Rhinolophus ferrumequinum: one gene and its partners. The main gene of each other region encodes a partner of the protein of the gene in region 4 in a complex. Links are inferred from orthologs where the notes say so. Each region holds a gene or a part of one and is shown on either strand. Other genes may lie near its edges.

What was found.
Region 1: MED23 (region 4) and MED25 share a complex: the UniProt entries of both Homo sapiens proteins name them as parts of the mediator complex. The link is inferred for Rhinolophus ferrumequinum from reciprocal best matches to the Homo sapiens genes MED23 and MED25.
Region 2: MED23 (region 4) and MED26 share a complex: the UniProt entries of both Homo sapiens proteins name them as parts of the mediator complex. The link is inferred for Rhinolophus ferrumequinum from reciprocal best matches to the Homo sapiens genes MED23 and MED26.
Region 3: the proteins of MED23 (region 4) and MED24 are in contact, whole or in part, in a cryo-EM structure (PDB 7EMF), measured with the Homo sapiens proteins. The link is inferred for Rhinolophus ferrumequinum from reciprocal best matches to the Homo sapiens genes MED23 and MED24. Residues at the interface, in NP_004821.2 of Homo sapiens: Asn150, Thr151, Val152, Ser153, Ser154, Glu193, Gly194, Leu196, Pro197, Trp199, Leu201, Gly202, Asn203, Ser206, Asp207, Asp210, Arg213, Tyr258, Asp259, Lys260, Phe263, Ser1133, Arg1139, Ser1176, Glu1180, Glu1182, Trp1183, Val1184, Tyr1186, Arg1189; in NP_055630.2 of Homo sapiens: Lys238, Thr239, Leu280, Leu283, Lys287, Val291, Glu295, Cys336, Glu339, Phe340, Lys343, Leu344, Thr345, Pro346, Leu347, Asp349, Lys350, Gln353, Lys384, Glu720, Lys721, Trp723, Thr756, Arg757, Lys758, Glu759, His760, Met802, Asp803, Pro804.

What each region holds. Positions count from the first base shown.
Region 1 is NC_046298.1:44,851,980-44,859,296, forward strand, and holds the start of MED25 (mediator of RNA polymerase II transcription subunit 25), read left to right. Parts: upstream 1-4,313; 5' UTR 4,314-4,440; coding exon 4,441-4,709; intron 4,710-4,804; coding exon 4,805-4,850; intron 4,851-5,486; coding exon 5,487-5,611; intron 5,612-7,317. Other genes in the region: FUZ (protein fuzzy homolog), read right to left, coding at 177-287. UniProt on the Homo sapiens protein: Component of the Mediator complex, a coactivator involved in the regulated transcription of nearly all RNA polymerase II-dependent genes.
Region 2 is NC_046301.1:50,104,626-50,112,423, reverse strand, and holds the start of MED26 (mediator of RNA polymerase II transcription subunit 26), read left to right. Parts: upstream 1-4,785; 5' UTR 4,786-5,042; coding exon 5,043-5,114; intron 5,115-7,798. UniProt on the Homo sapiens protein: Component of the Mediator complex, a coactivator involved in the regulated transcription of nearly all RNA polymerase II-dependent genes.
Region 3 is NC_046304.1:36,565,958-36,573,294, reverse strand, and holds the start of MED24 (mediator of RNA polymerase II transcription subunit 24), read left to right. Parts: upstream 1-4,331; 5' UTR 4,332-4,488; intron 4,489-4,671; exon of another isoform or gene 4,672-4,873; intron 4,874-7,337. UniProt on the Homo sapiens protein: Component of the Mediator complex, a coactivator involved in the regulated transcription of nearly all RNA polymerase II-dependent genes.
Region 4 is NC_046286.1:78,968,685-78,976,472, reverse strand, and holds the start of MED23 (mediator of RNA polymerase II transcription subunit 23), read left to right. Parts: upstream 1-4,779; 5' UTR 4,780-5,012; coding exon 5,013-5,060; intron 5,061-5,404; coding exon 5,405-5,436; intron 5,437-5,594; coding exon 5,595-5,682; intron 5,683-7,725; coding exon 7,726-7,788. UniProt on the Homo sapiens protein: Required for transcriptional activation subsequent to the assembly of the pre-initiation complex. Component of the Mediator complex, a coactivator involved in the regulated transcription of nearly all RNA polymerase II-dependent genes.

The DNA of each region.
Region 1 (7,317 bases), on a different chromosome or scaffold from region 4:
CCAGCCCCCTCTACTTTCTAGATCCCTTGGGCTCCTCCTCTCTCCGGGGAACAAGGATTATTGGTCCATTACTCCCTCAGCCCTCTAAACTCAACTGAAACTTCCCCAGCCGCTACTTTCTTGGAGACCCAGAGCCCAAGCTCCTAAACCCCTAGATCCAGGCTCCAGGGCCCCACCTGCTGGCGGGCGGGGGTGCCGCCGCGGCTGCTTCTGCAGAACAGGGGGACTCCGCTGGAGGCCGCGAGACACAGCAGATGTACGGTGCCCTCCGTCCCCTCCTCCCCCATTTCGAACCCCCCCAGACCTCCTCGCAGGTTCGGTTAGTGCCAGCTTTGGAGCATGACCGTAGTCACACTACTAAGTAGGGTTGCCGTCCAAAGCCGCCAGAGGGGTGATGGGAAGTTCAATGGAAGAGGACTACATCCCCGCCTTCAACCAACTTAAACCCCCCCTCACTCCCTATTCCAGCACCTCCTCCAAACCCTGTTCAAGTCTCTTCCGCTCTAGCCGGAAGTTACAATACCTTTAACAAAGATGGCGGCTAATTGTACTGGCAAAGCTTCATAGTTTCTCCCTAAAGTGACTTCACTTCACTTATTTAAAGAAGAGAATAAAGAGCCCGGCTTGAAGGTGGTGACCGCCCCAGGGTTTGCCTAGCAACCATCACGTAGGGTAGGATGTTTTATGTTCTAAATCGATAAACAGCTGTGCCCCACTCAAAGATGGCGACGGTGCCATGGCGTTGCCTAGTAACTACATTCAGTCTCATTTCCATCCTAAAGCTGTAAACAGCTGTGCCCCGTTCAAAGATGGCCGCATGACAAACTCTGAGTACCCTTCCCTAGAGCAAAATGGAGGAGAATACCATCTCCCCCCCACCCTCGAGGATGGTTTGGTCCGACGAGCGTTGCCTAGTAACCACCAAATTAGATGGTGGTGGTTAACAGAAAAAGATGAAATTCTTCATTTTTCCAGAATCGTAGAAATATTATTTTTGTAATGAATTTATACATGATCGTGTATCATGCAGAATATGAAATACTCTTCCCCAAATCCTTTCCTCAAAAATAGAAAGTTGACAATTTAACACAGCATAGTCACACATTTTCACAAATATGGCCAATATTAATCTGAGATCTACAAGGAGGGTGTGCTTCTACTTCTACAGATTGCCAAAAGTACCAACCTGAGGCGAGCTCAGCTGCTCTGGAAGGCCCTTAGCTGCCTTCATGCTCTTGGTAACGCCAATGCAGCTCCTTCCCTGTACAGGCAGTTCTACTCCCTCTTTTTTGTGTTAATTTCTGGTTCTCTGTCTTTTTTTTTTGGACGGGGGTCGGGTGGGGAGGGGATACTTGAAGAGTACTCCTACCATAATGCCAGAAGCTGAAGTCCAGTTTAAAATATCTAATTGTTTATTTTACCATTTGTTGTACATTAATGGAGGTGGTTAGAAATCAGTTAATTCAATTAATCGTATATTCACTTTATCGAAAGAAAAGTTTCCTTATACTTAACGGCAGATTTTAATTTTAGGTACTTTTTTAATCTTACCTGTTGATCATTTTTCTTTTCTCAACTTTACTTTTATTTTCCTTGTAATTTTACTAAAAATTGAATTACACGCATAAAAAAGGAGGGAGCTACTTTAGATTAAAAGAAATTTGCGATATAATGTCTAAATATGTTTGGATCCTGATGCAAATAAAGCAATTGTAAAAAGACATTTTGGGAGAACTGGGGAAATTTGATTATAGATTTAGTGTTAGGTTATACTAAGAAATAATTTTGTTAGGACTGATAATGGCATAATGGTTATGTAAGAAAATATAACTTTTTAGAGATGGCACAGGTGTGGGGACAGAGCCCCAAAGAGCAGTTTCCAGGCTCTCAGCCTCACGTAGAAAGGTGCTGGCTCGGGTAGTAGATGGCCATCAGCTGTGGCTAGTTGGCCGTCAGCTGTAGCCCATTAGCCAATTGGCTACTGATATAACTGCCGTGGCTATGATAGAGAGTCGTCAGTCGGTTGGCAGAAAAGCGGACAGCAGGTCACACATCGTGTGAATCCAGCCTCCAGTGAGACTATAGTGGTATGACTCCCCTACCTATGGCTCCATGGGTGTTCCTTTTTGGCCTAGCCACATTCTGCGTTCTTATGATGTGGGGAACGGGAGCAGAGACCCCCACAGGCCGCCTCGCACGACATGAGCATACACATGGAAAAGGCTGGAAGTTCACAATATGATTTATACTGTTTTGTAATTTAATTTCTCTAAAGGTTTATTTTTATAGTATTCTGCAAAAGTATCAGTCCACTATGGATGGAGCTGGTGGCCTGGGAGAAACACTGGTCTTTTACCATAAAAAGCTATAGAAGCCATGCCTAGAACAGGGCACTTTTTTACCTTAATATCACCTGGGCTAGAGTGATATTAACTCTAGAGTGATAAACTCTTGCTGAGCACTCCGTGGGAGATGAGGGTGAGGTCAAGGTCGTCCCTCACCCCCAGGAAAGCCCTGGTGAATGACTATGGACTATGAGGAATTGCCTTCCATCCCTAATTTAATGGACCGCTTGATTGTTTGCTTGGGAACGTATCACCATGTAGTGGAACTGGCAGATGTTTGCTTTTGTGTCTCGATCAGCCGCCATGGAGAATATGTGAGAAAGACTGGCTGAGCCCAGAGAGAGTGGCAGTGCCCTGAGAGGCCCTGGCTGTGCCCGGGGAAACTGATGGTACCCTAAAAAGCCCAGGAAGTGTAGCTGTGCCCAGAAGGACTGGTGGTGCCCTGAGAAACCCTGGCTGTGCCCAGAGAGCCTGGCTGTGTCCACAATATTGCATTCACCTCGCACAGGGCCCCTTGCAGAAGACACTTGTCGCATAGATTGAGGTGAGACCCTGTAGGGGTGGAGTGTGGGGACAGAACCCCAGAGAGCAGTTTCCAGGCTCTCGGCCTCACGTGGAAAGGTGCTGGCTTGGGTAGTAGATGGCCTTCGGCTGTGGCTAGTTGGCTGTCAGCTGTAGCTGGTTAGCCAATTGGCCACTGATATCACTGCCGCGGCTATGATAGTCGTCGGTCGGTTGGCAGAAAAGCAGACAGCAGGTTGCATGTCGTGTGAATCCAGCCTCCAGTGAGACTATAGTGGTATGACTCCCGTACCTATGGCTCCGTGGGTGTTCCTTTTTGGCCTGGCCCTATTCTGTATTCTTGTTTAGGGAGGCGGGAGCTGAGACCCCCGCCAGACGCCCCTTGTGACAACAGGTAAAATGATACAATGATGAGGATTTGCTTTAAAACGCTTCAGCAAAGAAAATAAAAGCAAAAAGCAACAAAGAAAATAAAAGAAAAAAAGCAACGGTTAAAGTAAATGTTACCATCTGGGGACATGGCTTTTTGCAAAGGGAATGTATATACCCTTTTACCTTGAACTATATTGTCAAACTTCACGGGGGCAAGTTGTCCTGATTTCCACCCCCACTCGTCTACAACTGAGCCTCCCTCGTGAACATTCCTTTTTCCAATATTAACATGACAAAGGTAAAATGATATGTTATTGGACTTTCTGTTAGCACTTTGTAATTGAAGAGTTTTCCGAATATTTATTTGCCATCGTATGTGCGAAAAGCCTGCTTAGATTCCTTCCCATTAAAAAAATAAAAGATTTCTCCTTTCCTAAGTACGTACTTATTGATTAGTAACATGTATTTATGTAGCAAATTTCTGTCCACACATATGGTACAATGACTTTCCCAGTTGATCACATTTTTTTCAACTTGGTTTATGGAGTCTTTGGCAGACAAATTGATCAATACTTTACGTTTTCTGGCTTTGCTGTAATGGCAAGAAACTCTTTCCAGTCTTCAAGGTTATACAGCGTGTTTATTCCTTGAGATACTTTTACGGTTTCATTTGTTTAATTTACATCTTTAATCCACTTGGAATGTATTTCTGTTTTAGACCAGTTTCTGGCCCCTCGCACAAAACAACTATCAGGTGTTGCTTAGCAACCTCCACTAGGGTTAGCGTTTGGCTTCTTGGGGAGGGGGGGAGAACAGCTGCACTCCCTTCCAAGTTGACGGCAACCTTAAAGCGTTACCTAGTTACCCGTTTCGGACGTTATGATTGGACCGTTCACGCTCCCCATCCCCCCCTGAGCTAGAAAGAACTTAACTGGAAACCTCATCTTGTTAGAAAACAAGGGCAGCGTACGCGTTGCATAGCAACTAAATCTCCTGACCCTCCCATTGAGACCAGAGTCGAAACAGGTGCCCCGCTCAAAGATGACGGCTGCCGGTGCTGTTTCCAATGTATTTAGCTATGGACAGTTCTGCCAGTAATTCAGTTTTCCGCATCAGGCCCCGAAGTGGTTCGCTATGCCTAATCTGAGTCTTGTACGCGGTGGATGGGAACGAGGATGCAGCTAGAACGAACGCTCCTTGGATGCCCCGCATAAATATGGCCGCGGGTTCGTTAGCCGCACAGCGAAGCCGCCCGGCGCGGGGGCGCGTGCGGCGCAGGCGCACTTCCGCTCATCTCGCGGAGGTTGTGGCGGCCGTGGCGTCTACCTCGCGGGGCATGGTCCCCGGGTCCGAGGGCCCGGCCCGTGCCGGGGGCCTGGTGGCTGACGTCGTGTTTGTGATTGAGGGCACGGCCAACCTGGGGCCGTACTTCGAGGGGCTCCGCAAGCACTACCTGCTCCCGGCCATCGAGTGAGTGCCATTTCCGCGTCTCCAGCCCCGCCCTCCGGCTTCAGTTTTCCACAGCCTCTTGTCTGACCCCCACTTTTCACCTCCGACCCTCACAGGTATTTTAATGGTGGTCCTCCCGCCGAGACAGACTTCGGGGGAGACGTGAGTCTTGGAATTCTTGAGTCTGAGGGAGGAGGGGCCGGGGGTCTGGACTCCCGGGTCTGAGGGAGGAGGGGCCGGGGGCCTGGACCCCCGGGTCTGAGGGAGGAGGGGCCGGGGGCCTGGACCCCCGGGTCTGAGGGAGGAGGGGCCGGGGGCCTGGACCCCCGGGTCTGAGGGAGGAGGGGGTGGGGACCTGGACTCCCGGGTCTGAGGGAGGAGGGGCCGGGGGCCTGGACCCCCCGGGTCTGAGGGAGGAGGGGCCGGGGGGCAGGACCCTGGGTCTGAGGGAGGACGGGCCGGGGGTCTGGACTCCCGGGTCTGAGGGAGGAGGGGGTGGGGACCTGGACTCCCGGGTCTGAGGGAGGAGGGGCCGGGGGCCTGGACCCCCGGGTCTGAGGGAGGACGGGCCGGGGGTCTGGACTCCCGGGTCTGAGGGAGGAGGGGCCGGGGGCCTGGACCCCTGGGTCTGAGGGCCTGGACCCCGGGTCTGAGGGAGGAGGGGCTGGGGGCCTGGACCCCCGGGTCTGAGGGAGGAGGGGATGGGGTCCGGATTCCTGGCTCCCAGGGAGGAGGGGCTGGAAGCCCTGACTTCTCTGAGGTCCCAGGTGAAAAGTTCCTCTGCACTCCCCCCCCCAGTATGGGGGAACCCAGTACAGCCTCGTCGTGTTCAACACGGTGGACTGCGCTCCTGAGTCCTACGTACAGTGTCACGCTCCCACCAGCAGCGCTTATGAGTTTGTCACCTGGCTCGATGGCATTAAGTGAGCTTTTCCCCCGTGCTTGGGGTGGGTTGGGGGACCCTGTGAGGGACCGTGAATGGATGATGGCTGGGGTCATATTGAATGGCTGAAAGTATTGAGGGGGATTGTTTTTGTCCATATGTCACTTCTGTGATGGGTTTTGTGTGCTCAACGATTTTGCGATCAGGTTTGGTAGTAGAAAAAAACTTCTCCCAGTCAAAGAGGCCTTGGGCTCCAGCACCCACCTGGTACTCCATGTGTGATTCTCCCCTTTCTGTCTGTTGTTTCCCGTCTCTACCCCAGCCCTCCTTTTTCTGATTGGCACATTGAAGCCTGAGTGCAGGAGGGGTGGGGATAGGCCAGGAAAGATGCTCTGTGCTTTGCATCGAATTTTGTTAGTTTACGTTGTAGGCTTTTGCAGGTGCAGATAGATAGGGTCAGATCACTATAGAACTCCCAGACTCAGGAGTCCCTGCCACCTCTGTGCCCGATATAGCTTATCTCTAAAGACGGTGTGTTAATAGTACAGACTGTCCCTGACGTAAGATTTTTCGACTTTATGATGGTGCAAAAGCGATACGTGTTCAGTAGAAACCGGCTAGACAAAGCTGTAATGTTCAGTAGGTTAAATGCGTTTGTTACTTATTTGTTTCAACTTACAATGGGTTTCTTTGGACTTAAGTTGAGGAGCATCTTTACTTGTATTAGTTATTTATTGTATTACTCATCCACTGTTGCGTTAGATTACCCTGAAACATAGTGTCTTAAAACGACAAACGTGTGTTCGTTATAATCATGCAGTTTGTGTAAGTGAGGAATTCAGCAGTGGCTTAGCTGGGTGGTTCCGCCTCGGAGTTTCGTGAGGTTGCTGTAGGGATGAGCCAGGGCTGCAGGCATCCAGTGGTTTGATTGGGTCTTTGGAGGATCTGTTTCTAAGATGGCTCACCCTATGCCTATTGGCTGGAGGCCACAAGGGCTCCCTGTGGGGCTGCTTGAGTGTCCTCCCAACATGCACCTCCTCAGTTTCCTCAAACTGAGCAATCCAGAAGAAGCAGAGAGGAAGCCACAGGTTTTTTTATGATCAAGTCTTGGAAGTCACACACCATCATTTCTGCTACATTTTGTTTGGTACTCAAGTCAGTCCTGTTCAGGGTTTGAGGGGGTGTAAATACCAAGAGTGTGAATAGCAGGAGGCATGTATCACTGGGGGCCTGGTTATTGGGGTGTCATAGGGCTACTTGGGGAATTAAATGAGTTGATGATTTAAAACAGCCAGGTGTGTATTAAGTGCTACCTAAGGGTTTGCTATCATTTTGTGTCTCGGTTTTTTGGTTTGCAAATGGACGATGGTCACTACTTTGAGTCCACAGCTCACTACTTTGGGAAGATCCCCGGAGCTAGTCTTTATCCTGTGTTTAGCTCAGGGTCTGCGCTGTGGTCGGAGTTCATTAAACCACCCTTTCGTGGCTGTTGTTATCTTTGTACATTCATGCAGCAAACATTTGTTGAGTGCCTGCTTTGATCCAGGCTGTGTGTGCTGGATGGGCTGCTGAACGTTCAATGGAAAGATGACACCCAAGTTTCCCCCTCATGGTCATTACAATTAATGATCAGGATAAAGCAGGGTTTCTCAACCTTTGTACTGTCGGCACAGATAATTCTTTGTTGGGGGGGGGCTGTCCTGTGCGTTGTTCAGTAGCATCGCTGGCCTCGCTACTCACCAGATG
Region 2 (7,798 bases), on a different chromosome or scaffold from region 4:
CATCCCTGGCAACTACCAATCTACTTTCTGTCTTTATGAATTTGCCTGATCCTGACATTTCATACAAATGGAGTCATATAAAATGTGGCCTTTAGTATTTGACTTCTTTCACTTAGCATGATGTTTTCATCCACATGGTAGCTTGTGTCAGTGCTTCAATCCTTTTTATGGCTGCGGAATATTCTATTGTATAGATGTACATTTCGTTTATCCACTCATTTATTGATGGGCATTTGGTGTTTGCACCTTCATCTATTATGAATAGTGCTTCTGTGGACAGTTACCTGGACAAGTCTGTGTGTCGGTTTTCTTGGGGGTATTCACAGGAGTGGAATTTTGGTTGGTGTGGTAACTGCCAGGCCTTCTTTAAACTTTAGTCTGGACTGGGCAGGATGTGGCCTCCACTGCATCCTATAGGCTGAAGTGAGTTGCAGGCCCCACCCAGAGTCACGGGGAGGGACTGACATAGGGCCTGACTGCCCAGAGGGTTCATCAGGGTCCTCATGTGAAGCCCTCAGTGGGGAACCTTGACATGTAGTAGGTACTCAATAAATGTTATTCTCTGTAATTATTATTATTACTAAGAATAATACAAAACTGGGGCAATAGGGAAAACACCAACTGTTAGGACTTAGATCGACATCCATCACTCAGCCTGACAGCAAATCCATCTTCCGGATTTGGGAGATTATGGGCACACTTGAGATTAGCGTTACCTGAGTCAGAAGATGAGAACCTTAGGTTACTAGAGGTCAGGAGAACCCGGCACTGGATGAGATGACCAGAAGGCACCACATGTTCATTCTAAACAGTGTGGAACTGCAGGCAAAAGTATCAGAAGAATCATCACCTGTTCTACCTGTCAGAGACAACTACTGTAGATATTTTGGTTTCTTTCCTTCCAGTAGTTTTTCTATGCATCATGTACATACGTATACATATATTAATAAAAGTAAGATCATAATGTATATATATGTTGCATTTTATCACTTAGTATTAAGTTGAGAGCATTTTTCCATCTTTTCAGTACTGGTTTTTAACGGCTTTATTATCTATCTAGCTATCTGTTATCTAGCTATATATCTTTATTTTCAAAGTGTAATGTACAGTAATATACAGCTTGGTAAATTTCTTCATGTGCATCCACCCATAAGACCGCTACCCCCATCGGAGTTATCGATTCCTTTGGTCTCTCCCAGTCCATAACCTTCCCATTTTCATGAATTGACCCCCCCGTTTATTCATGTACTCCCCTATTACTGGATACTTCAGTTGCTTCCACTCTTTTGCTCTTATAAATGATGCTGTGACCTCCCTTGTACATACGTACACATTTATCTGCATCTGATTGGTGGTTCCTTTGGAAAAATTTCTAGAAGTTGTGAGACATCGATCGGGTCAGAGGGTATGAGTGTATTGGAACACTCTCAGTTGAAGTGCTGCCTTCTTGTCAAACATTTTTCCTGGTCCACCTATCCAGAAGGGCTTTCCCCACCTTAGGGCTCCTGCTGCACTTCGCTCGGACAGTACAATTAAAATATTGGATTAATGGGACCCCGACTTGATTCCAGTGCTTGGCTTCAAAACTAGATCCTCAGGAGCAGGCTTTATTCATGTTTATATCCCACTTGAAAGCACGATAAAAATTGTCCCGTCTATCTTTGAAAGTCTTCCTAAAAGCAGTGACATTTCAGGGGCTTTTCAAAACTGTTGAAATTGGTTTCACTTCTAAAGTAAACAGGACTTGCTGCAAAGCCAAGCAGAACCCTGAGACCTCTCTCTAGGTACTTCTGAGATCAGTGATATGGCTGAATGAGTTAATAGGAGAAAGTGGTTTTTAAAAATTTCCACCAGACTGTTAAACTCAGAGCAAACATATGGGTCAAAGTGAGGTGGTGGATTTGCTCATGTTTGTTTTTCTTATCAATCACTGGAACGCTTACATACATCATTGGGATAAGTCCAGTAATTTCCTCTCCTTTAAATTGCCCACCTCCCAGGGGTTTGTGACGCAAGGGTACAGCGGCTTTTCCCTTTAGCAGTGAGTCTGCCTAGGGCGTTGCTGCTGTTGCTCCTTGCTGTCACATGGTGTCGCTGTTGAACACTTGTCTTGTGCAGTCGTGGGAGCCCTCCAGCTCTTGACTTCCTTCTGGGATGCCCTTACTAGTCTGCCAACGGAGGAGGACTCCACTCTCTCACTGCCAAGACTGCCTGGGCATGCTGTGCACTCAGGTCCTGAAACTACATTCCCTCCCACTTCCATGGCAAGAGCAAGCCATGGACTCAGAGCCACTTCCTCGCCCTAACCTTTGGGGGCTGCCTCACTAAGAGATGAGGCCGCTTTCCCAAGGACATTTCAAGCACAAAAGATCTTGTCCTCTCAGATTGGTGGAACCAATGGTCTCTGTATCTAAGTTAAGGGACATATCATGGGGAAGAACGATTACAGCACGAGGATTTACCTTGAGCCCCATCTTTGCATAACATTTCAAGTATCTTGAAAGCAGAAAGTCAGCTAGTGAAATTCAGTATCTACCATGGACGTAAGAGAAGCTGCTAACTTTCAAAACTGTTCCGTGGCGATCTTTCTTTACCATGACAAGCATACTTTGTATATACAGTAAGTCCTCAATACTGTCAATAAGTTCTGTACTTTAAGTAAAATGACATATGAGACCAGTTTTAACATAGGCTAATTGATAAAAAACGAGTTAAGTTCCTATGGCATCTCACCATTATAACGAAAACGTCGTTTTGTTACATTATTCGAGGACATGCTGTATGCTAAATATGGAATGAAACTCTGTGTCCATGTGCATCCTCATGTTGTAGAAAGTATTTAATAAAATACTTTTTCCATTATTTATTGAGCCCCCACTGTGTGCCAGGTCTGTGGAACTGAACCGCATAAGTATGTTTGGGTATGTGTATTCAACTGCTGTGTATCTGATGAGACATTCACTTACTTCACAAATATTTAATAAGCACTTTTCTATCTACTGGGGACACGGAGTTGAGTCGGTGCCCCTGTGGAGCTCATAGTCATCTTAATGTTTCTTCTTAGTTTAAAAAAAGCAGGTAAGTTGAGTGCTTTCCAGAGTTTTCTTAAGTAACCTGACCCATGCAAAACAAATGGCTTATTCCCTGATTTAAAAAAATAAGACATTGTACATCTAGTTAGAAATTTAAGAGAGAGGCAGGACCGGATTATACTTGGGGGAGAAGCTTGTTTATTTTGCTTATCTGAAGTGAGAAAGAATATCTCTAAGTGGGCAGATTTCCAACTTGGAGCATGTACACAAAGCACCTCATGCTAAAGAGAGTAACTGAACGGAGTATTTTGCCTGTGTTTATTTTCTTCTACAAGTGTGATGTGAAACTTTTCACATGTGCAGAAGCAAGCAGCCACAACCACGGAAACAGCCGTTTTTGCAAATAAAAATGCTTCGCAGAAGCATGACAAATGCAAGACTAACAGGTGTAGGACAGATCCAAGGCGCACATGCGGTTCTCATCAGCTGCCTCTCTTCTGTTTTAAATCTAGGTCTTCCTGTAACAAGGAAAAGTTATTTCTCCTGAGGCTGCCACTAATAATCCACTCAGCCTGCCTTTCCACCCCTTGTCTCATAACAGTATTTCTAATAGAGCTTCCAGAGAGAGAAGACAGCAATGAAAGAAGGCAGTAAGGGGGTGGGGCAGAGGGTGGGGGGTACCCTTAGAATTGACATTAGAAGTTCTGGGTTTAACCTGTAACTCTGGGTGACTTTGGGCTGCAGTTTTCTCCTTTGAGAAATGTTTGGTTCAGAGAATGAGGGTTTCAATTTTCCAGCCTCTCCACGCCAAGCAAGGTAGAAGGGTCTTTTAAACCAGTGGATGTCAATAGGGGGCGATTCTGCCTGCCAGGGGACATCAGACAATGACTGGAGACATTTTTGGTTGTCGCCACTGGAGGAGAAGGTGCTACTGGCATTTAGTGGGTAGACGCCAGGGATGCTACTCAACATCCTACCAGGACGGCCCTACAACAGTGATCCGGCCCCAAATGTCACCGGGGCACAGGTCTGCAACCATGGGGTCGGCTCACGGGGCTGGTTTGGGGGCATTCCCAGCTGGGATGGCGGCTCTTCGGAGAGGTGCTTCTCCGTCTCATGTTTTCGGGACCCGGGCCAGCGAGGCGCTGCAGACCCCCGCCCTCTGGAGTGAACCAGAGCTGGAACGTCCCTTGACATCCCTCGGTCAGACCCAGACGCGCGCAGCATCACAACGTGGACATCCATCTCCCTCGCCCCCAGGAACGCAGATCGAGGGGGTGGGAAGGATCCCCCCCAGGCTTGGAAAACTTGGCAGCTTCTCCCGCCCGCGACCCCTATCACCTCTGTCAGTGCAAGGAAGGCTTTTCTTCCCGAAGAGGGGTGCTGCCGCCGCCCTCCCCGCCCTGCACAGCTGAGGCGGCACCCGCAGCGCCGAGTTCAAGGACTCCGCGCGCATCTCGCGTTTGGGTCGGGAACCTCAGCATCCCCAGCCCGGGTGGGGGCGGGGCTCCAGGCGGCGACCGTTGCCCCGCCCAACCGTTTCCCAACGGCTCCCCGGGCCGAGCAGGGGACTGGGACTGCGCGGTGGGCGAGTGCGCCTGTGCGCGCATGCGTAAAAGGCGAGGGGTGTGACCCAGGCGTGGCCCCGCCCAAGCCCGGCGTCTCCGCCCGCCCCATCTCCCAACCTCCTCAGCGTGGCGCCGACGCTGCGTGCGGCGCGGGTTACCCAGAGTGCTCCGCGCAGGAGCAGCTCACTGGAGTTTGGTTCTCGAGGCGGCGGCAGCAGCGGCGGCGGCTCCGGCGGCTCCTCCTCCTGCGGTGGCGGCGGCGCCCCGGGCCCGAGCCCCGGCTCCGGCTCCCCTCTCCGCCACCCCGCGCGCCCCCTCCTCCCCCGGCGCCGCGGGGAACATGAAGCTCCGTTCCCGGAGGCCGGCGAGTGAGTGACCCCCGTCCCCCGCCTCAGCCCGCCCGCCCGCTGGCCCGGCCGCTCCCCCCCGCCTCGCCCAGGCAATGACAGCGGCTCCGGCGTCTCCGCAGCAGATCAGGGACCGGCTGCTGCAGGCCATCGACCCCCAGAGCAACGTAAGTACCCGCCGCGCGGGCCAGGACCGAGGCCTCGTGGGCCCGGGACCCTCCTCCTCCCCAGTGCCCCTCACCCTCGGGGTTCCCGGGTACCCGCCCGAGGCCCACCTTCCCCCGAGGGCCGCTGCCATCCCGGCCTCTCGTCCCCCGGGCCTGGGCCCGGGGCAGGTCGGGCAGCCCGGCGGCGCTCGGTACGTGAGGCCGAGGCTTACGTGCGGCCTGGGTGGAGGATACAGACGGGAGCTGAGGCCAGAGCTGTTCCTTCCCTCCTGCTTGAGTTCTACGACCCTTGTTGCTCCTGTCGGAGCTTACCTGCCTCCCCTTCTCCGGAGACCAGAGACCCCCCGGGAAGCCCTCTCGACTTGGGGGAGGGGAGGGAGAAAGACTGTGGAGCAACTGGTGGCTGGAGTATGACTCCGGGAGCCCGTGCCTCCAGTATCTCGGCCTTCTGGGTGATCAGGGAAGTCCTCCTTCCTTCTTCTCCCTGCTGGAAGCACCTTGGCTTCGGAGGGAAACCCCCGGCCTGCTTTGCCCCTAGCCGGGTGCCCAGGGCGCGTGGAGAGGTCTCTTCGGTTCTGCGAATGGACATGTCTTTGCTGGATCCCTCTTCGAGTCGCTGCCAACGGAAGATGATCTTGGGGAGGAGGGTGGGATCCTTCATGCTGCTTTTCTGGGCCTAACTGCCCATTGCGTCTCTGACCAAGCCAGAGCCCCACTTTTGGGTAGGGAATTAAAGGTGATTGTTTTCTCTCCGGTTCACCCAAGAACCCTATTTCGGCTGTCCCTTCCCCCTATCTGGAGGTTCTAGCCAGGTGGTTTTTGACCTAGATGACAGGGTTAACCCCAGGGTGTCGCTTTGTCAGATGACCCTCCATGTTTGCAGAGGGATCTCCCCTGTCCCCCCTCCGTGTGTGTAGGGGAAGCCTCATTGTGTTCTCATATATTCTCCAAGGGGTTGTTGATGATAGGGGTCATTTTCCCCTGTGGCAGGAGCAGGTTAAGCAGGAGGAGGATGACATCCAGGTATGAAGTGAGCCCTGCATTTGCTGGGAGACCAGGAAGTGGCCACTGAAATCACTTTAACATACTGCAGATGGAAGAAAAAATTGTCTTGGGTAATTTTGGAGGGGTTATGATAATTGTAAGGCTCTGATTTCTCTATCATAAGTAATTCTCTTATTCCTGGTCTTCGGGCCCCATTAAGATTGGCTTGGTGGAAATTGCCTTTAACAAGTGTATACATTTTTGTTAGGACTTTGGGGGTGGAGTAGGCACAAGCTATATAAAACCTCCCAGAATTTTTGCAGTAACTGGTGCCGCTGCAATTCCCAACACTGAAATATTAGAGGATAAAGCAAGTGACATGAAAAATACAGCTTTGGTAACTTTTGCATCTTTTGTCGAGTCAGAGTGCAATTCTTGAATTCCATGTGCTTGCTTGCCTTCTGGAGTATCTGAGAGTGGCTGACCTATTAGCACTGATTCTTAATGCCACCTAGGAGAGCTTTGGGATCAGAAGGCGCTTTGACATCAGAAGGTGCTTTGACAGGTGGTCACGATGTTACAGATTAGGTGGGCAGTGACCTCAGGGATTCTAGTGTTGTGCAAGGCTCTAATCTAGAGGGTTCCTAGAAGTAGGAGGAGGGAACAAATCTCAGCTTCGTGTATCCTGGTGTGTGCAGAAACATTACTCTCATCTGAGCCCATGGCTGTATTACGTAGCATGGAATTCATGTTTCATGTGGCTTACTTTGGGCAACTCTAGCGATAGGTGTGCTAGAGCCCTACTAAAATAAGTTGATAGAATTGGGAAATTGTCTCTTTGAATATGAGCGATGAAGAAAGTGCCTCCTTTAAATGCTGCCATTGTTAGTGTCTGTGAGCATTGTTACTAGTCATTTGACAGGAGTGCGGCTTGGTTCAAACCGTGTATAGAAACTTAGAGATGTGGCAGAATAGTTTGCTGATGGAGAAGGTGCAACCACAGGGCTGCAGTTTCTTACGATTGACCTGGGCCCAGGTGAGAGTGAGGGCGCTCCAACAGGGCATTGCTGCCGCACGGGCGCTCTTCTCTGCTTTGCCCAATTATGAACACTTCTGGATAGTTGGTTGACACATATTTAAGATGCTCATGAAAAAAATGGGGACAGAGTTGAAGAGCCAACACTAAAATTAAACCTCTTCTGAGAGAAAATACAGAGAATTGTGTCATGTAATGCTTACCTTTATGGACATGCAATTATGGTTAACAAACAGCTTTTGCTTGAAAAATTAATGTCAAGCCGCTGACCTAATATCCACAAGTATCTGAAAAGTTAGGGAAGTAACAAAGTAACATTTACTGAGCATCTCCTTGACAAAAGAGTTCTTAAGAGGAAAGTTGTTTTTTTGCTCTAAATTCTAGCCTCTGGAGTATTTGAATTTCTGTAGCAGCAGGTTCTGAGTTAATTTCTGCCAACTCAGTACTGAAGTAAATCCTTTACACTCCTTTTCAGAAAGCAACTAACAGTTTTTCAGAATAATTGAAATCTTACTCTTTCATGGTATGTCAGCCCAGAGTGTTGAAAATCTGAAGTGCAGTGTGCGCATTTGTTCCAGCTTGATCTTGCTTGGTTGTGGATAAAGTTGAGGGCAGTGTCTTCTCCTGCCCAGAAATCAGTCACACCACTTCAGCACAGTCTTCT
Region 3 (7,337 bases), on a different chromosome or scaffold from region 4:
GGTCTCGTCACGCTGCTCTTTGCCACTGCTGGGGTGTGTGGCTGTACCTTTGGCCCTAATCTGCAATCCCAGCCCCTGGTCCCTAGACTGAATGCTCATCCCCAAGGTAGGGGGGCAATGATAGCATTTCCTGAGCACCAATAAGTTCCATCTTGCTGCCCTTGTCTACCCAGAGAACTTCTGACTTCTCCCTCCTGAGCACCTCACACAACAGGTATACAAAAGGGAGGTCCCCTTTGGCACCCCTGCCAGGGAGGAGGGCGGGCGACACCATATGCCTGACAATTATATGCTCCCCCCCCCCCACACACACACACACCAGCCCCAGACACCTCCATGAAAGACTGAGAAGTATCTCTGGTTCCAGGTGGCATGTATATATCCCCATCCTAGAGTGTGCCAGACCCTGGGAGGGCAGGAGAATCCACAGGCGTTGCTTATCATGCTAGGATGCAACACAGATGGAACACAGGTGTCATCCCATGGTATGCTATGTACCATTCCTGAGTGAGGTAGGCATCACTGTCTCTGGATGATGAAAACTCAGGTTCAAAGTCAGCAACTGGTGGATGGCAAACACCCAGCCTCCAACTCCCGGCCAGTGCTCTCTACCATGGTCAGGTTTGCCTCCCTGCCCAAGATGCACAAAAGTCCCCCAAGCACCTTTGCTGCCACGAGAACTAGAGTTGAGATTGGCTCCCAGTGGCCCACTACAGGGCATCCCCCCATTGTCCTTGCTGCACCTTGAAGAAGAGTTGCTGAATTAAAAAAAAGGGATTTGGGGGAGAGAGGAGTCATCACCAGACTCACAGAAGGAAAGAGGCAACCCAGAGACCCTGGATCTCAAGGCACCACACACCACCACATCGGTCCTTACTCCGTGCCTCCACCGTTCACACTAATGCCCCCTCCATGCATGGGTGGAGAATCTAGTATCTGTCAGCCAGGGCTGGGTCTTGGTTGATTGGTTGATGGTAGGTAGCTGGAAATGGTGGGTCCCCAGGAGAGACGAAGGGTGCTGTACTCTACACTCAAGAAGGGTTATGCTTTCCTTGTTATTTTGCTCCCCCACTCCCAGTGCTCAGACTTGTCCCAACAGAGATGCAACGATGCCCAAACATTCATGCCTGTGCCCCTAACTGGGAGGGGAGGTGTGTCCCAGGCTGAGATGCCAAGGCTCTTTTTAAGAAGCTAAAAGGCGAGGGTCAGAGGGCCTCCAGGTTACAAAAACTTGTCAGGGAGAAAATGGTGATGTGAAGTGTGAGTAGAGATTAGGGACCCACTATGCCTACCCACCTGCCATCTCATTTCTGTTCCTGTGATGTCTAGGAGATCCAATTCTCCACCAACCTTCTCCAAGAAATGCAGGGGACCCTAGCCCACAAGCTTCCTCACTGTAAGCATAAGTGCTTATTATGCACCATGCACTACAGGACATTACCTATTAGAGGAATGATACTTTGGTCTTTCATCCAGCTATGTGTTCCCTGTGACTAAACTTCAGTTTCCCCTTCTGTAGCAGCCCATGGATTCTCTATGGTAGAATCACTATCAATGCCTCCTGACCCAAACAGGCCATAGCCAGAGGAGAGCATGGCCAGAAATGCTTGGTGTCCCCTGCTCAGATTCCCTCTCTGGAAGATTTGCTCATTCTGCCGCCCTGGGCTGAAGCCTGCACTCGTAGGAGAGGGCCTCACTCAGCTCTGCACATAGTCTGGGCAGCTGTACCCTCAGAAGCAGGCTCTGAGGCTGGGCAAAGAGGACACAGCTGTTGGGCATCTCTGAGGTAGGTCTCAGCTGCCAGGGGTGTGGAGAAAGGCCACTGTGGGTCCTGCCAACTCCCGCCACTGCCCATGGGGGTGATTCTCTTCCAGTGGGTGAGTGTGGAAGGGAGCTCCTCACTGGCTTGGTTAGGAGCTAGTTGGATGTGGCCTGCACATCCAGCTTCCACTGGTCTGGTGTCTCCTGGCAGAGCCTGCCAGCCTGAGAGGTCAGCATGGGCAGTTGGTGACCCCTTTCCCTTCCCCCCTTTCCCAGCCCCCAAAACTTGCTGGCCTGCAGCTGCAGCACTGAGGAAGTGCAGGATGTCCTGAACAGCCAGCTGAGCCCCCCGCCCCCCACCCCAACCTCTCGATGACCCCAGAGACAGGGCAGGCGGGGACTGGGGGGCGGGGTTTGAGTATTAACAACCGGAAAACTATGAAGAACATCACTGCCAGTTCCCAGCTCAGAAAGGAGGTTGTGGCAGAAACAGACAAGAACAGGGGTAGACAGGGGTAGCGACAGGGTGAGAGTTATAGTCTGGCAGAGAAACAAGGAGAGGGAATCAGACACAGCAAGACAGAGCAACAGAGAGACAGCGTTAGAGAGAAATTCCAAGTCAAAAATACACATCACTCACCCAGACACTCACCAGCATACGGCCTCCTAAGGAAAGCTTCCAAGTTTAGACAGGAGGGCAGAGGTGGGAAAAGGAGCCAGACTCAGGGTGAGAGGCAGGAACTCAGCTGGGGGTGAGTGAAAGGCCCCCAGAAAAGGCTCAGACAAATGACTCCAGCAGGGGCAGCTAGATCTGCCCCACCATTTGTTTTTAGGGTGGGGATAAGGACTGCAGCACCCACTCCCTCAGCAGCCAGGATAATCCCAGCTGCTGGAAGTCACTGGACACTGCTTCAGGCCTGTGATTCGGCCCTCTGGAACCCCCCTGCCCCTACTCTTTGCTCTAGTTTCTCTGTCCCTTAAAAAAAAAAAAAAAAAGCTGAGCCTGGAGGAAGAAGACAGAAGGAAACTTAAGGGAAAAAGTCCATGACTATGTGTGCATCTAGGGGTGTGCGTCTGGAGTTGTCTGGACACCACTGTCGACCTGGACCTGTGACTGTGGACCTGCGCCTTGTGAACACCTTCTGCACCTGAGTCCCTGGGACTGTGTGCAAATCAGTGCACCTGTGTCCGGAGTTCCCACAGTCAATCCATTAACAAGTATTTACAGAGCACTTCCTGTGCTAGGCTCTGGGTGGGATCCAGCACTCTTGGAGTGATTCTGCCAGGTCTCAAGCTCACTATCTAGTAGGGTGGGATAACAAGCAACGGAGAACATTATCACAAATGCATGCCTTGCACCATTACGCAGGAAAGTCTTTTCACACAAATTTAATTTCCTTGGGAGCAGGGGTTTTGTTGTATACAGAACCTCAGAGATCCACAGTAGAAGTCCAGGAAAATACTTGTTGCTAAGTTGTGTATACATGTGTTGATGTGTAACTACGTTTGCATTTGACTGAGTAACAGCGACTGTCACGGCAGGCGTTGATGCCTGTGTGACTGGGCTCATGCAAGCACGTGTGTGCCTGTGAGTGACAGGGTCTTTTGTAATGTGCGGCGGTGTGCAATTGCTCTGTGTTCATGTATGCATGCGATAGTGACTTTTTCTGTGTGGGTGACAGCGACTCCTCCTTGCCCCTGTGTGTGACAGCGTCTCCGTGTGACCCTGTGCGTAGGTATGTGCATGGGTCGGTCTCCCGTGGGTGTGTCCCATCCCTCTGAGCTCCCCAGTGCAGCAGCAGCCTGCCACTTCCCTTGTTCCCATGTGGGTGTGTCCAGTAGCTCCTGTCCTTGAGTACGCCTGGGTGTCCCTGGGTGTGCATGTGGCTGTCTATGTGGGCATATCTTGGTGTCTGCATGTCACATTTGCTTCCCTTCTCATCTTGGACAACAGTCCCCTTCATCCCTTCCCCCTCCTGGGGCCAGAGCCATCATTGAGGGGTGGGCTACCATCCCACTGGCTGCCCTCCTTCGACCTCCACCCCTGGAAACAGTGGCTCTCTCCATTGCCCCTATCACTGCCCCCCTCCCCAGGCCTTTCTTTCACACGGGACAAGGGAGGGCCCCAGACAGAGAAGGGGCACCAGAGGAGACACGTTGCAAGGGGAGGGGAAAAGGGGGGGTACACACAACACAGGTCCCTTCCTCCCTCTCTTCCCCAACCACCCTAGCTTGCAACTCTAATCATCTGGGGACCCTCAAATACACTCCCCCCCAACACACACACATACACACACACACACCTCCACCCCACCCCCAGCCGCGTTTTTTGCAATTAGGAGTGTTGCAACCAGAGAGCCATGCTCAACTGGGGAGGCGGGTGGAGGGGGGGGCTTCCCTCTCCCGGGACCCTTGCAAGCCCACTCCCCACGCCACACGTACTGCCCTCCGCAGCTGGAGGCAGCTTTGCAAAGGCCACTCGGCCTCGGCCTGGAAGGCTAGGGGTGGGGGCTGAGGGGCAGGCCTCCCGCGCACCGTAAACAAACCGCGGCGCGGCGCGGCGGGCGGGGGCGCTCGGCGGCCGGCAGCGGGGCCGGGCCCGGGAATGCGCAGCAGACGGGCCGGACAGAGGCCGGGCGGGCCCTCGAGGGGGAGGCCTGGACGCCATCTCCGCCGGCGAACCCTGGGGCCCACCGACCTCCTAGCAACACCTCCCTTCCTCAGGGCGTAAGTTGCAAGCTCCCGGGTTGTGACAGGGTCTCAGGGGCGTCGGGGGCAGGCTAAGGTTGGCGGCGGGTCCCCCCCGGACGCCCCCAGCCCGCCGGGAGCTGGCCAGAGAGCCCTGTGGCTTTGCATAATCAATCGTGAGGTATTTGCATATTAATACCCCCCTCGCTCCCTCCCCCTTACCTCGGCGTGGCGCGCTGGACAGGGCTGGAGAGCGACGCGGGGTCTCAGCGCCCCGTGCCGGGGGCGTCCATGGGGGGCCGGTGGGGCCCGGGCCGCCCGCCTCCTGCGCCCGGGTGTGAGTGCGAGTGAGCGCGGGGGGGCGGGGGGCGAGTGTGGCGGCCCCGCGGCTCCTCCGGCAGAGGCGGCGGCCGCTCTTGGCTCCTCCCTCCCCCGCCCCGCTCCGGCTGGGGCTCTTGCTCGGCGCGCCCGGCCGGCTCGCGGCTGCTCCCTGCAGGCCGCCTTGCCGCCGCCGACCCGCGCCCCCCGCCCCCCGCCGCGCCCCGGGACCCCGGCCAGCCAGCCGCCCGGCCGCCCCTCGGCCGCCTCTACACCCGCCCAGCTCGGACTCGCCCTCCCCACTCCAGGCGTCTCCGGCAGGAGTGATACTGGGTGACATATTTTGAAAAAGATGTCATTTAAAAAATAGTCTTCAGTTGCTGGAAGAATGGAAGGTTTTGGTGTTTGCACCATGGGGATGGAGAAGGGAGTATTGACGAGACGCCTGCACCTTATAAGTAGGGCGAAAGTCTAAATACCAAACCCTTGGAGGTTTCGAGTTTGTTTCTGAGTTCGGGTCTCTTCTCTGCCAGTAACTCACTGTGTGACCTTGAGCAAATCACCCCTGCTGTCGGGGGCAGAGCTTCCTCAACCTTAAAATACCAGGGTTCGGCAGGTGACCCCTGAGGTCCTTTTAACTTCAATCATCTATGTTTTAAATTCTTTTGGAGTTTTACTCGCCATTACTCGCCATTTACTCGCTTCCTTCCCCTCTCATTTCTAACATCATTACCTGATCCACTGCCTCCCCTTTCAAATGTCACCCTATTTCAATATAGGCTCTTTTTATTCACTGTCATCAGCCATTTCCTCAACAATCTGGTCCTCTTGCTCGGCTGGGGAGGGGGCAAGACTTGCTCTACCCCATCAACTCTCAGCTTCACAGAGGTGGTATTTCCTTCCATGTTTACCCCCACCAAAATCCAAATGGTATCAGGGCCAATTTAAGGAAGGCAGCCTGCATAAAAATGGATGCCCTTCCCCTACCATCCAGCTCCCACCCACCCCATTGCACACACACACACCTGCACTCATGGACATAAAACCATCCCAGTGACGCCAGAGCCCCTTTCATCTCGGGATCTCCGAGCGCCAGGCAGAGCTCTAATTACCCCAGCACCCCCTCTGGCCCCGCCGGTTCCCCTGCTGTCATTAGCCCAGTTTTACCAGCGGGGGCCACAGCCTTCCCACGGCTTTCAGGGCTGGGCCCTGTTTCCACAGTCTGCTGTTGGAGTGTGTGTGTGTGTGTGTGTGTGTGTGTGTGTGTGTGTGTGTATGTGAAGGGGGAGCTGTTCTACAAAAATCACTTGCTAAGTGTGGGGCTTCTGACCAACAGCCTATCTGAGTTGGGCTGCCCTGGTTCATCTCAGTCTCAGCCACCTGCATCCTCATCTCTGTTGCAGCCACTTCGCTTACAGGGGGCATTGGGGTCTACCGTGCATGGGGAGGGGATGGAGCATCTCTTGGGACCCGCTGGAATCATGGGGATGAGAAGCATCGCTGGGATGAAAGCCTGGGGCTGCAGAGTGGAGTGCTGGTGATGAGGGGTATGCCATGGGTGAAGGGAGCCTGCAGTGTGGAGTTGTGGCAGCTGCAGTAGGGAATGGAGGCTGCAGTATGCAGAGTCAGCATGCAGTCAGTGAACCTGTGGGTTCGGCCTGGGCTCACAGTGGACATGCAACAGCTGCAGCGTGGGGCAGAAGGCTGCAGCGTGCAGTGTGAGGTGCATTGAGGGTAGCTATCTGCCCTTGATACCACCTCCTGGGTGATCGGGTTTCGCTGAAACCCTGGGGAGCAAAGCTGTGGTGTGCAGCGTTCAGGGTGCACGCTCTACCCTGTGTGGAAATAGTCTCTTGAGATTGGGCAGCCCAAGGAGTCGGGGGAGAGAATCCCAAAGCATGGGATACATTTATGCTCTGCATCAATCAGGCAGAACCAGGAGGCAATGGAGAGGTCTAGCTGTCATCTAATTAGGGCAGGGTGACTGAGTCCCGAGGGAAGATGACAGTACTATGGTTTTGTCTCCCCTCCATTCTGGCTTCCCCTACCACATCTCTCTATGACGAAAGGCCTTAAAGATACTGGGTGAAGGAGACTTTTTGAAATCCTAGACCCAGAGCCATAGAAAATGAAATACCTCCTGATCTACCTTTTTTTTTTTTTTTTACCCCAAAGGCACAGTGGGGCACCTTGAACTCAAAGACAAGTGTTCACCATTCCTATCTTCTCCTTACCTCTCTCCCTGTCCTTGGCTCCCAATAAGGGCTGCTAACAGACCTGGGCAAGGGCAAAGTGAAGGGCACACTGCCTCTAAAGTAGACATTTGGCCAGATGCCAGGTCCCAGCCCAGGTCCGGGCTTATAGCCCCTGTCCCTGTGTTTCATGGCCCTTTCCACCCCTACCTACGCCCCAATTCTTGAAGTTTCTAGCTCTTCTCAGAGTCATTTCATCTCCAGCTCCTCTTCTTTCCTTACCATGAAATCCTCACCTGGGCTGTCTCCTCCCATCCCCCCACCTCTGCTTCAGGGCTGTCTATTGGGAGAACAGGAAGGTGGGGCACAAGTGAGGAT
Region 4 (7,788 bases):
AATTAATCTGACGAATTAATTGATGACCAACCTTTTGGTTAGATAGTATGGTCTCACAGCTCTAGGAAGGCTCATTCCTAGGAAGTGTCAGTGACGTCATCTTGTTCACCGCTAGGGATGGGGAACACTGTAACCATGGATCTGAGCTGAGGCCAAATTTTTCTCAAAAAAGGAAGGGCAGGTAAATGGAAAGCAGTCAGCTCTGATGGTCTTCACGGCAAGAAACACTGGGTCATTTCTATCCTATGAACTAGCGTAATCCAACTTTTGCCTTCTGTCTCATTTTTTTATAATTGGCATCTAGTGTAAATTTGCAGAAGTCATGAAACGAGCACTATTGGTTATATTATACATGTTCAGTAATCATAAACAGTTTGACTATATAGAAAAACCCAAAGAACAAGTACAACTATTATTATGACTAATATCATTAGCAAACAGGTAAAAACAATCAAACAAAATGGATTCTGAGTTCCATAGATATACAAACTTTGTCAGTGTCTTGAAACAGCTACCTCCCTTGTTGTCAGTGGCTTCTAATCCTCGAGGAATCTTTGATGTGCGTACAGGGGTAGATGTCCATTCGTGGTTAGGAGCCTGATAAGGGCCCTTGCCATGAGGTTGGAGAGTGTCTTTTATTTGATGTCTTTTCCAAAGAAACAACATCTAAAGCAGGGGTGCCCAAACTGTGGTCCGCGGGCCAACTGCCGTCTGCAATCCATTGTTAATTGGCCCGCAGCAAATTCCAAAAATATATCTAGTTTACTTAAATAAACCAGGTGAGGCAATACGTACTTCACCTCGAGTGAGTGGCCCGGCTGTTTGTGTATTTTACCTCATATGGCCCTTGGTGAAAAAGGTTGAAAAAAGTTTGGACACCACTGCTCTAAAGTCTTTAGATCCTGGGAGCAATTTGGGAAAGGAAGCAGTTACCAAGTTAGCATTTCCTAGACCTTGGTAATATTGTAAGATGTCTCCTTTCAATAATGTCAGCTCATAAGTTCCTTTAGCTTAAATGCATTGTGATACATGAAGGAATGCAAAAATTGAAAAATGGGGAGTCAGGGAGCAGCGAAGAACCAAGCAGCCATCTTGGGTTTCCCACAGCCCAATATATCCTAGAAGTTTTCCTACTATATTGAAATCTTAACCCTTAAAACCTTAATGTCTGATAAAAACTAAGAAGTTATCAATTAGCATTCTTTAGCTTGGACATTTTATAACCTCTAGAAACATTTTCATAGACATAAAATTCAATCATTAACATAGATTTATTTTTGTAAAACCCAGGCAAAACAAAGACATGTCTGTTTTACTTCAACCAACCAACCTAAGCTAGCTTTTGTTTACTAAGGACTCTTAGCTCATGTGAACTTGAAAAGCATTTGAGTTAGTTTCTATATTTGAGAATTTTAGAATATCCAATTCTTACAAGCACTTGCCTTTAAATTAATTTTAACAATACCATCTGCAGATAGAAAATTATCTCACATTTACAACACATGTATATATAGACATACACAGACAGACACAAACAGAGAACAGTTAGATTCTAATTTTGTTTTGGAGACATTTATAATTTATATCTCTCCTTGACAAGTCAAATTCCAGATGAATTCCCCTTTTAAAAAAAAAAGACAGCCATTTTTAATTCCCCAAAGAATTGAATTGACACCTAAAAGACATCGAAGGTTGATCCATTTATCTAAACCCTTTTACATAGTTCCATTTTTAACTTAGGGGAGAAGGCCTTTTAAAGTTGTGAAACAGTCTCTAATAGTTTCTTTTTTTTATTCAGTCTGCCTAATTCTGTAGCTAGCTTTTTCTAATTGTGTGCACAAAAATTTATTTAGAGGTAACAAAGAATCTTCATCTTAGCCATCGTAAATTATAAATGGGAGGCTCACTGTCATGGGCTTGGGTGGCTTCAGAGACACGATTTCCCATTTTACTTCTAGGGAAAACCAGCCTTTACATGCACAATTCTAGATGAGCCAAATGTAGTAGATATCCCTATAGGACTTCTTTATGCCCTAGAGAAAAATTTTCCTCAAGCAACCCCACAAAGATTCTTAGTCACCTAAGCATACCCGAGCAAGGGCCAGCAAGAACTTACTAAACACTGCTAGAATCGAGACATTTTCCAAGGCACAGATTCCTGTCTCAGGCTCCTCTCTGAGGACACACTCCACTCCAGGGTGCGTTGCCCTGTCTCTTGGGCTCCTGTCAGCTTCCTTGGGACTGGCTACTCTAATGAACTGGACAATTGCACCCATCTCCGCTGCACCGAATTCAGGGATCTGAACAACTGACATCACCCCATTGGCTATAGGGGTTGGGAAAGCAAGTGCCTTTTCTCTCTTGGAGCTAAAGATTGTTCAGTGTCTCATTTGACCAGCAAAGATTTTGTTCAGACTCCCAGTAAGCAATCCAATTAAAAAGCCAAAACTTAAAGCAGCAGCCCATTTTTTTGTTCTTTCCTTGGGTAATCTCAATCCTTATCCATCTCGAGGATTTTCTAAGAAGAGCTCAGATAAAGTTATGACCTGGTATTCAAAGCAAGGAGGCCCAAAATTCCAAGAGAAACTCACCTCAGTTTAGCTGATGAGAAGCAAGGAGCCAGGGGGGCACATTGGGCCCTTGCTTGTACCTACGTAGTACCAGGTCCAGGTTTCTAGGGTGGTCCTGGATAGGCTGCTTCAGAATCCTGCCAACCACGCCACCTAAATGTCGATAAGGAATGTCCAAACCTGTATAGATTTTTTTATGAGTTTATTTGAGCCAAACTGACAACATATGCCAGGGAGCAAGATCTCAAATGCTGTTTTTACAGCTTCTTTTATGCATTGGTAATTAAGGAGGGAACATAAGGAAGATTGCACGCAGGTGGGAAAAAAACAAGGTGAGGGTTGGATTACAGGATAGTTAACAAGATTATGTGTTCTCTTGAGGGTTAATACCCTCTTCCAAGGGCATTACTTCTGGTATTTCAAAGGTATGTCAACCTAGATGCACAAGAACAATGGACAGAGCTGGCTTAAAACCTTTCACTAAGGAAGTTATAGGCCTGGGTAATGAGTATCCACATGACCTGCCCAGTTAGGAATTCAGATCAGATCACCCAGTGAGGTTACTTCTCATAGAACCCCCTAACCCCCTTTTTTTTTCCATCCACAATAAGTACAAAATCTAAATATTGGCCCACAAGTTATGAAATCAAAGTTTTTATAAGTCCTCACCACCAACTGGTGGATCAATAAATAATCTGTAGTTTAATCATTCAACAAAATGATACACATGGATGGATCTCAAAATATAATGTGTGAAAGAAGGTAGACACAAGATTACATCATATGTGATTCCAATTACATAAACTTTAAGAACATGCAAACTAATTAATGGTTACATAAATTAAAACAGTGTTTGCTGCTACAGGTGGGGTTGACTGCAAAGAGAGCAGAAATTTCTGGGGTGATAAAAGTATTCCATGTCTTGATGGAGGTGGTAGTTAAACAACTGTGAACATTTGTCAAAATTCATGGATCTATACATTTAAAATTTATGTATTTCGTTGTATATAAATTATACATCGATTTTAAAAATGAATATTGGGGGAAACACATTAAGAAGATCTAGAAATAGATGGTCAATTTTTATTCAATGAATGGAACATCAACAAGAATGATATAAAAAATAATTTGTATTTAGTTATGGCCAAAACATAATTCTTTCCTGGCTATTTTACCTTGTTAACTGTACAAGCCCTGGCCCATATTAAGATTAGCTGGCATTTGCAGAGAATACACTAATTTGGAAACAGAGTGGAAGCATGAAAATCTGCTTGATAGTAGATGAAAACCATTTTAGAAGAGTATGTGATTAAAGGTAATACACTATAAGATAATTTGCTTAATATAGAAAAAAGAACAATAGATTGTTAGGGAACTTGGGTTTTAATAATTCTAGGTCTGTCATCCTAGCTTGGACATTCTGCAAAATTGATTACTGCAATAGTTCATTAAACACCTAACACTGTTTCTAGCACTGAGTGAATGGTGGATAAATACTCCATAAATGAAGTACTCTACTAGTTATGCACAAAGGTGTTTTATGAGGATAAAGAAGAGACCCCTAAATCAGGCTGAAGAAGGACAAGGTTTCCCGCTTGAAGGAATAAAGCCATGGGGTGTGGGGAGGCACAGCAGTCAGAGCACTTAGGTATCTGCTCTGACCACACCAGTGGATCAGCCTTCCTCTTTGCCACCCTTCTCCACCCCATCCCCATCAAATAGGCTACAGGTATTCAGTAATTGATAAATATTATTTTTAGATTATGATAACTAAAAATGGTAAATATTGTTATTCCAATTAAAAATCAATAATGATGCATTCTTTTTTTTAACATTCATTGAAAACCTGCTATGTGTCCAGCACTGAGGTTACCATCGTTGAGAAGATATGATATCTGTGGTCAAGAAAAGTATTGTTTCAACTCCTGGCTCCAGGCTGCTGATGGAGCTGCAGGACAGAAAGTCAGCAGCCATCATCAGTTTGACCCAGGGTGCAGGGTGCAGCAGAAACATTGCCTGCAGACTGCAGCCCCTGGCATCCAAGCTTTTCTCCTTTCCAACATGCAAAAGCTTTAGACCCGAGGAGGAAGCAACACCCGCTCCTGCCAGGAGGTGGCGGCCTGCAGCGGACAACGCCTCGACGTGACTTATGCTCGAGGCGCCGCTTGGGGGCGCTCTCTTCTGACTCTCGGAACCATCTAGCTAGGTCCCTGGTTTCCGGGGGTTTTGTAATCGGAAAGCACCATGAGCTTCCCGGTGCTTCCTTGCAGGCCTCGGTTGTTTGCTGGACCTTAGAGGGGACTCTTTCATTTGAGCGTTTGGGGTGGAAAGCGATCGGTTCGACCTGCGATTTCCTGAGGGCGTCTCCGCCCCTCTTTCTATTCCCCGGAGCTCGGGCCTGATCGCAGGCCGCGCGCCGGGCGCCCAAGGAAGGCGGGGGTGATGGTCCAGATGGAGACGCAACTGCAGAGCATTTTTGAGGAGGTGGTGGTGAGTGAAAGGGTCAGGGATTCAGGACTACGGCCGGGCGAGGGGGAGTCTTGGGGGCATCGGATTAAAGAATCCGGCTCGGCCAACTTCTCCCCACCTCTCCTTGGTTGTGACACTGTGTATGTGCGCAGAGGTTTAGCGATTCTCAAACTGCTGTCAAATTCAAAGCCTCCTTGAAATCCACAATAGGCATTGTGACAGGTCAGGCAGGCATTGTTAGTTTCTGCGTGTAGGTGGTTAAGGTGACTTGCCCTATGTTACACCAATGTTTTGCTCGGGGAGGCCCCTCCTTTTTTTTAGTTTTTAATTTTTTATTCATATCGTTTTGTTTTGTTTTGTTGCAGAAAACGGAAATTATAGAAGAGGCTTTCCCTGGGTGAGTATATGCAGAGCAGATTTTTGTGTTTTTACGTGGGTGTATCTTTGTTAAGATTTTACTCAGTTTTGTCTTGGAGATTTATAAGATCCACAGTTCTGGTTATGTTGAATTACCTTTTTAAAACTAGTGGCAAATAACGTGATTTTTGTTTATAGCATGTTTATGGACACCCCTGAAGATGAAAAAACAAAACTAATTAGCTGTTTGGGAGCCTTCAGACAGTTTTGGAGTGGTCTTTCCCAGGTGAGTACTGCTTTTTTAATACATTCAGCTAATAATTTTTGACCCCTTCTTTTTTTTACACTTACTTTGATGTTGCTGTTGGAAAAGGGGAGATAAAATTGTCGTCATCTTTTATGTCTATTCTGGTTTCCATTTGTTTCAATTTGTATTCCAGTGGGGAACCTGTATTGAGAATTCAAGTTGATGACAGTACAGTGTGAGATGTCTTTAAAAATCTCCCATGTTAGATTACATAAAACCATTTTTATCCTATTCTCATTTATTTGGTGTACTTGAAAACAGCTGTGTTAGGGATTATAAAGGATAAAAATTTCATTTTCTCAACAAAGGAACTGGCACAGTATTGATATAGAGATACTATAGTAAAGATACAGAAATGCCACAATAAGGATCCTATTTTATAATAAGGATATAAAGATATTATAATAAAAAAGAGGAAAGGAACAGTAAAACTTAATAACAAAGAACAGTCACCAGAAAATATATCCCTGAAAAAGACAAAATGTGTGATCCTTAAAGACTTCATTGTCTTTTTATGGTTCATTATAGGTAGGAAAATGTTTGCAGTTAAACCATTGGTGGTAAGACTTGCTACTCAGACATGGATCACGTAATGATAAAACATTCTTTTTTTAAAGTGTTGTAATGCAAAAGGTACAAAAAGGTGGACCCAATTAATAGTCTGTCTTTCATCTCTTTAGTTTAATTACCTTTTCTTTTTTCCATCTGTAGCCAGGATTCTTAGTTTGTATTTCCTTCTAGAAGTATTTTATGCATATAGAATCGTTTTTATAGAATGGTCATATATTATGTACACTGTTCATTAGCACCTTGCTTTTTTTCACCCTTAATACCAGAATTAATTAATTCTGAAAGTAATTCTACAACAATCCACTAAAAATTAAAATTTCTGACTTCCTTCCTTGCTTCCAGCATATTTGTTTTATGGCTACACCTTCCTTTTTTTAACCAGTCCCCTAGTGACTGACATTTAGGTTGCTTCTTATCTTTTCCACCTTAAACAATGCAAAATGATTAATGTTGCACATGGGACAGAGAATAAATTCATGGAAATAGTATTGCTGAATGAGCAGGTATGGCTATTTGTAATTTTTATGGAAATTGCCTGGTTGCTTTCCATAAGGCTCACCAATTTATACTCCTAAACATTAGCAATATTTAAGAGTATATATTCCCTACAGCTTCACAATAGAGTGTTAATGAACTTTGTGATCTTTGCCAATCTAAAACATGAGAAATTTTATCTCAGTATATAATTTTATTTTGCACTTCTCTGATGTTGACCATCTTTCCAAAAGATTTAAAATGTTTGATAATTTGTTAAACATTGTATGAGTTAAGGTATGGCCCTTATCTGCAAGAATATTATATTCTAATGAGAGAGCCAAGAAGAAAGTAATATTTGTAAATCCACATTATATGATCAACAACAGAAGTATGTGTTAGGGACAGTGGTAATGAAGAACAACGGGACATAGGCTCTTTTGAGGATGTCCTATAAGACAGACTTCGATATGGGCAGTACATTTCAGTATCAGATTTAAAGTCACAGAAATCTAGAAATTTGTTCTGTCGTTGGATTCATAATTGATTGGCCTTTTAAGGATTAGATTCACACTAAATTCTCATGAGACTAATGTACTAATCTGTAATGGATTCCCCACCACCCCGTGATAGGAATATCTAAATCTGCCATTAAGGTCACGGCTTATAATGCCTTACACAATCTGTGTTAGAGTTTTCTATTGCTCATGAATATGTTAATAAAATCTTACTCCTTTTGGAGGTTCCATCTAATAAAAATAGTGGGAGTTTAGTTTCTATAATGCTAAGATTTTAAGTTTAACGTAGCTGAAATATTAAATCTGATTTTTTTTCCTTTTTTTTAATTGTCTGCATCCCTGAATGTTTATGGTGGAGTGTTTCATTCATAGTCTTGGTATACTCCAGGTGTAGCATTAGCTATGTTAATTACGACATATAACTTTAGGCCTAAAATGTAATCATTTTCTAACTTTCCAGGAATCTCATGAACAGTGCATCCAGTGGATTGTTAAATTCATTCATGGCCAACATAGTCCTAAA